Linked DNA regions of Coturnix japonica. The protein of the gene in region 2 binds, or shares a complex with, the protein of the main gene of each other region. Links are inferred from orthologs where the notes say so. Each region holds a gene or a part of one and is shown on either strand. Other genes may lie near its edges.

Region 1 (2,612 bases), on a different chromosome or scaffold from region 2:
GATTGGGGGAGGGGAGGGGGTGCAGTGCTGGGAGCACAGTGGTGATGCTGGGTCTCCTATGGGGCAGTTCGACACCAATGGGGACGGGCAGATCAGCATGGCGGAGCTGCGGGAGGCCATGAGGAAGCTGCTGGGCCAGCAGCTCAACTACCGCGAGGTGGACGAGATCCTCAAGGACGTGGATCTCAATGGGGACGGCCTGGTGGACTTTGAAGGTAAATGGGGGCAGGGTGAAGGAGGGGGGGGGGGCCCTATTGATCCCAGCTTTAACTGGGGGACAATGGAGCCATGGATGGGGGGGCCTCCCTATTGCCAGCTGTATTTGGGGCTTATTGCCGGCTTTATTTGGGGTTAATGCTGTGGTTCTTTGTGCAGAGTTTGTGCGGATGATGTCGCGCTGAAGGGCCGGGACTCGCCGCCGTGCCTTACCGGGAGGAGGAGGAGGAGGAGGAGGAGGCGGCCTTCCCGGGCCTGCGCTGCCCCTCATGGTGTGTGTGGGGGGGGAGCTCCGGTGTTGGAGCCCCGTGTCGGTGTGTTGGCAGCGCTGCCGGTTCGCAATGAAGCTGTGTGCCGCCGGGTGCCGTGTGCCCGTCCGTTGAGTGCCGGGGGAGGCCTCTGGCCCTCGCTGTGGGGGTGGGGGTGATGGGGGGGTGCAGGACGCCGCTGGTCTCCATGGTGATGGGAGCCCGGCGCGCCATGTTTGCGTATCGGCGGCGTGCGCCTCGTGACGTCATCACCGCGCTCCCCCGACAGCGCAGGCCGGCTCCCTTCGTGCCGTCGACCAATCGGCGCCGCCGGGTCGCTCCGTCTGACCAATCAGCGGGAGGTTGTGGGGGGGGGTCGCCCCGCTCGCTTCCGTCTCCTGCACACGGCGGGCGCCGCTCGGCCCGGAGCGCTGCGGGATGTCCTACAAACCCATCGCGCCCGCACCCAGCGCCAGCCCCGCCCCGGGGCCCGCAGCCACGGCCGCCGGTGAGAGGAGCCCCGGGGATAGAGCGGGGGTGGGGGGAGAAGAGGGCGTAAGGAGGGGCACGAGGCCTGAGGGGCGGCGGGGCCTAAGGGAGAGGGACGGAGAGTGCGGAGGGGAGTCGGGGCTGAGGGAGGGAGCGGACGGAGCTGGGCCCGAGCGGGGCCGGGCTGAGGGGTGACGGGCCCGGCCCCAGTGCGAAGGAAGGGCCGGACCCGGGGTCGCTCCCCGCAGCTCCCAGCGTCCCTTCGCCGTCCGCCTTCCGCCCGCTCTTCAACGACTTCGGGCCGCCGTCCATGGGCTACGTGCAGGTGAGCCCGCGGGGCAGGGGCACGCGGCGGGAGGGCGGCGTGGGGCGACGCTGAGCCCCCCCCCCTCCGTCCTCCTCGCCTTCCATCCCCTGTCAGACCATGAAGCCGCCCGGCGCTCCGGGCTCGCAGAGCACCTACAGCGACCTGCTGTCTGTCATCGAGGAGATGGGCAGGGAGATCCGGCCCACCTACGCCGGCAGCAAGAGCGCCATGGAGCGGCTCAAGCGGGGTAACGAGCCCGGGGGGCGACCCTCTGTGACCCTCCCCCCCCCTTAAGCCCGGAGCTCAGTGCTCACTCATATCCCCCCCATTCAGGGATCATCCACGCTCGGGCGCTGGTTCGGGAGTGCTTGGCCGAGACAGAGCGCAACGCCCGCACGTGACAGCAGCCCCCCGACCCCCCCCCCCCCCCCGAGCCCCGCCGGTGGCTCCCCCCGAACGGGGCCACCCCCGGGGCTCCCCCCGCCCCAACCTTCCGGCTTTTATAAATAAAGGACGTGCTGCATCCCCCCCCTTATAAAGGAAATCCTCCTTCCAAGCCCCCAATTCCCCATATATACCGCTCCGTTTTAATTTCCCGGTCCGCCGCCCCCCCGCTTCTGACGTCCCCTCTGACGTCACGCCCCCCCCCACGCTGTTCCACCTCCTGACGTCAGCGGGCGCCCCCCACGCCGTGACGTCACACAGCGCGGGGCCGGCTCAGAGCGGCGCAGGTTCGGAAGGGGCCGAGCGCAGCCGAAGGGAACCGAAAGGAGCCGAAGGGTGACGGAAACAGCCGAAGGGAGCCGAGAGCGCGGCCGAGCGGGCGGGGGGCGCGTTGCTATGGCAGTGGGGAGGGCCCGGCCGAAGCGGGCCGGGCCGGGGCCGGGTTAACGGCGGAGGGCCGCGGAGCCCCCCCCACCCCTCGCCCCTTCCCCTAAACACGGCGCCATGCTGATCAAGGAGTACCACATCCTGCTGCCCATGAGCCTGGAGGAGTACCAGGTAGCGCAGCTCTACATGATCCAGGTGCGGATGGGGCCTGGGCTGCGGCCCGGGGGGGGGGGTCGTGTGGGGCCCGGGATCGTGTGGAGCCGTGGGGGGGTGCAGGAATGTGGGGCTTAGGGTGGAGGTCAGCGGGTTCGAGGCTGAGGGATATGGGGGTCAATGTGGAGCTTGGGGGGTTGAGGATGGTCTGGGGGATGGAGGCGTCTCTTATGGAGTCTGGGGGAGTGCAGGAGGATGAGGCAGAAAGTGAGGGTTAGGGCTGAGCTGGGGCTATGGGGAGCTATGGAATTATGGGGCTGAGAGAGAGGGGGTTGGGGTGATTCAGAGCTGGAGGGGGCTGTTTCTGG
Region 2 (3,809 bases):
GCTGGCTCTAGCTTGGACCAAGAGCTCCCTGCTGAGCACCCGCAGTGCCTGTTTTCACCAGCGGCCAAGGGCAGAGTTTTGCCCTCCAGCACATGGCATCATGGAGCAGTTTGAGATGAACGCCTCACAGGCATCTTCATGCCTGATCACAGTACCTGAACTCTTTCTCACTCTTCCCTCGCAGATCCCTCACCAGCCAGTGAGAGTTGAAGGCATCCTGGGGCGGCATTCCCCACCGCATGATGGCGTTCAGGAAGGCTTTGCGCTGCCGGGCATTGAACCCCAGAACCTGCAGGGAGCAGAGGTTGGGAGGCCTCAGAAATGATGACATCTCAGAGCCTCACAGCTGCTACAGGTCCTGAGCCAGGACTGATGCTGAAGAGCAGCACAAACCGGACCAGACAGACAAGGGACATGCTTTGGCCAGTGCTGACACTCACTTCAATATTCCCCCCAACTCTTGCCAGCAAAGGAGGGAGAGGTTTGTCCCGGTCACTCTTCAGCTGCCTCCGTGATTGTCTTCTGCCACCTGCAGTCATACAACCTATGTAACAAACGTGCCCAGCCAACAGAGGGATGGCCAAAGACCTAATGCTGATCAACCCCTGTGCCCTAAGCTTCCCATAACCCTTCCCAATGGGAGTGGAACCTGCACACAGCGGCAGTCAGGGTTGTTCAGAGTGCCCTTTCACTCACGTGGCCTCCTCATGCCAGGGGAGGCACTGAAGACCAGATACTGCTACCACAAGGACAAGACCAAAGCCCTACATTAGCCAGCAAGTCATGCTCCCTGTGCTGAGAACTGCCTCACCCAGCAGGGCAAAGAATGCCTCCCCAGAAGCAAGGCAGTCTCTTCAGCTCAGACCTCCCTGCTGCATTTGAGTGCCAGCCCACCCCAAATCACAGGCTATCACTGAAGTTCCTGCAGAGGACATTGTAGATTATCAAGTCCATTAACTCACTCTGACCTTCTGGTCTTTCTTCAAAGTCTTCATCTTCATCCTCAGAGCCAATGGAGTACTCAGACTGGTTGTCAGAGAGCTCGTCCTGCCACTCTGCAGACCACAAGGAGACAAGGTCAGGAGAGAGAACCCTGCAAGCTTGCCTCAAGGGGACAACAGGAGCCCTGACACTGCCCCCAGCATCCAGTCCCAGGTAGCCAGAGAGAAAGACCCAGAAATAAACAGGAAACCAGACTCAACTTTTCCATTATTATTAGTTTCCTTCACAGAAAATAAAAAAACAAACCAGTTTTAAATACTTTGCCCACAGTCAGGTTTCTCCTCAATTCTTTCCCAGTTACAGGCCAAAAGGAAACAAAAATCACAGAGCCTGCTCCCAGACCTGAGCCAAGCAGTCAAAGCCATACCTTGGTCCTCCTGAGAGGCATCATTGTAATTGACCTGCTTGCGGATTCTCTTCCCCTTCCCCAAGTTCCTGGCCAGATCTTCCTGCTGCTGCTCATAGTGGTGCCGCAGCAGCTTCTCCCAGTAGTCAGGGTCCACATTCTCCTCTTGTTTGATGATCTCACGTTCCACCTCCTCCTGCAAAGAAAGGAAACCAAAAAGGCTTGAGACAAGAGAGCTGCAGACCTCCCTGCACCACACTGCTGTGCGTCTTCTACTGAGCTTTAGGGAAGAGGGATGGAAGGAGGGCACTGAGACACTTGCTGGTAAGCAAGATGTTCAGACATGCTTTGACCACCCAGTGGTGTGCCTCCTTCACCCTGCTCTACATGCATGTACACAGAGTCTCACTTTCACCCAAATGCACTGACCTCAGTGCACGGTTATCAAAGGGCTGAGACAACCTCCCAGTCAGCCACCTATACCTAGAAATAGCTCCTGAGAACACTGCCATCCGGCCTGTGCTCACATCCAGGGAACAATCACAGATCCACAGAGATTGCCCTGAATAGCAGCCCACTATCAGCTTGAGAGACAGCTGAAGGAAGTCTGTTAGCTACAGGGAGAATAAATGACAGCAGCACAATGCATGAGCAGCACCGTGCCCTGCTCCCAGTATTCAGAATAGCAGCCTTCAGAAGAACAGAACCAAGTACCAGAAGAGCGATAGGTCACAATAGGTCAGAACCACATTTAGCCATTGCAGTCCTGCTGGCTGCACCATCACTGCTACCATCAGCAATGAGCAGGGAGGAGTACTGCCCTGCAGAGAAACCCCCACAGGAACAAAAAAGGCAGAGGAAGAAGCACAAACAGGGACATACAAACAGATGTGATTATAAGACATGATACTGATCACATTACCACACCATCCTCTTCTCTCACAACATACTGGGCCACTTTAAAGGAGCTGAGATACTCGTTCATGTTCTGCAGCTCCGTGTCATCGGTCGCATCCTGGTTTCGGTCCAGAAGCTTAGAGATAGCAGCATCGTCATAGTGGATCACACTGCTGTCATCCACATCCTTATTGTCACCTGGAGGGCAAAGCAAGGGGAACAGAAAGCAAATCACACTGTGTGCTCCCAGAGCCAGGCAAGATCAGGCTGGACACAGGGCAAAGTCATCCCAGTAACAGGGGCTACAGACCTGGTGGGGTGCCACCATGCTTTTTTTTCATGCCAGGAGTCACTGCACCCCCTTTGGTGGACAGCGTGTCAGAGAAAGGGGTGACGGCATCCGGCATGGTGAGCCGCTGTCCCTGAGACACCATGCCTGCAAGTGGAAGGCACAGGAATGAGCCCCTGCAGCTCCAGCAGGGCTTGGCTTTGCTCTGAGCATCTCCAGCTCCCTCCTGACCCAACCTTCCACATCATCCTTGAAGAGCTCTTCTGTCCCAAACTTCAGGATGTCATCCAGCTCTTGCTTGGTCATGGAGCCTGACTTTGAGCCAAGCCCAGGACGGACCACCAGGTGGGTGAGCATCATCTTCCTTTTGGCCACCTGGGTGATGCGCTCTTCCACGGAGGCTCTTGTCACAAAGCGGTATATCATTACTTTCTTGTTCTGCCCGATGCGGTGTGCTCTGCTGAATGCCTGCAGGCAGAGAACATCACTGCAGAACAGCCAATGTTGGCACATCTGCAGCCAGCCCAGTCTTGGACCCCCTCAGCCAGAAGCTGATCTCAGGCTGCTATGGGGCAGTGGAGCAAAAGGGGCTCCTTAGAGCCAACCTGTAGGCTTTACACTCCTCCTTCCCCCTCCTCTGACTACAGAGCAGGCCACCTTCCTCGTGCATGGCCCCTAATTGAAAGGCTTGAAGGCAGTGCAGAAAAGCTCCTCCTAGGAATCCTCTGGCTGCAGATCAGTCCTTAGATAGGATCTACCACAGCTTTTGGAAATGCAAGTGGAAAGTCCCCAGAACAGGAAGGGACACTAGGTTGCAGACAAACAGCAGGAGAAGGGCAGAAGCTCATGGAAGAAAGCCAGTTTTAGTGGCCAGTCCACCCCTGCATTGCTGACAGGCCAAGGTAAGGCCAATAGAGGTGTGCAAACAGCTCCTGAACAGAACTATGTCCTGCAAACTGCAGGAACCATCAGCAGCTCTCAAGAGGAGAGAGCTCATTTCACTGGCAGAATGCACAGGGGGCCCATCCAGAAAGGTACTTACTGTACTGGAAGGAAAAGAAAAAGTAATAAACCTGGATGTCATTGTGGGGATTCCAGTCAGAATCATAAATAATGACTGTGTCAGCCGTAGCAAGGTTTATGCCCAGACCACCAGCGCGGGTAGAGAGGAGAAAGCAGAACTGCTGAGCACCAGGAGCTGAGAAAGACAAACCCACAGGTGGCAGAAGGTGAGACAAAGGGGAGCTGGGCTTATTTGGAAAGGTGTAGCACAGT

The links.
Region 1: CHD5 (region 2) and CDK2AP2 share a complex: the UniProt entries of both Homo sapiens proteins name them as parts of the nucleosome remodeling and deacetylase (NuRD) repressor complex. The link is inferred for Coturnix japonica from reciprocal best matches to the Homo sapiens genes CHD5 and CDK2AP2.

Annotation. Positions count from the first base shown.
Region 1 is NC_029520.1:566,998-569,609, forward strand, and holds CDK2AP2 (cyclin-dependent kinase 2-associated protein 2), read left to right. Parts: upstream 1-774; 5' UTR 775-902; coding exon 903-972; intron 973-1,163; exon of another isoform or gene 1,164-1,201; coding exon 1,202-1,278; intron 1,279-1,374; coding exon 1,375-1,507; intron 1,508-1,593; coding exon 1,594-1,661; 3' UTR 1,662-1,833; downstream 1,834-2,612. Other genes in the region: CABP2 (calcium-binding protein 2), read left to right, coding at 68-215, 376-401; PITPNM1 (membrane-associated phosphatidylinositol transfer protein 1), read left to right, coding at 2,209-2,286. UniProt on the Homo sapiens protein: Acts as a component of the histone deacetylase NuRD complex which participates in the remodeling of chromatin.
Region 2 is NC_029536.1:532,968-536,776, reverse strand, and holds part of CHD5 (chromodomain-helicase-DNA-binding protein 5), read right to left. Parts: intron 3,733-3,809; coding exon 3,608-3,732; intron 3,003-3,607; coding exon 2,771-3,002; intron 2,682-2,770; coding exon 2,556-2,681; intron 2,444-2,555; coding exon 2,271-2,443; intron 1,545-2,270; coding exon 1,370-1,544; intron 1,056-1,369; coding exon 969-1,055; intron 530-968; coding exon 441-529; intron 290-440; coding exon 156-289; intron 1-155. UniProt on the Homo sapiens protein: ATP-dependent chromatin-remodeling factor that binds DNA through histones and regulates gene transcription. May specifically recognize and bind trimethylated 'Lys-27' (H3K27me3) and non-methylated 'Lys-4' of histone H3.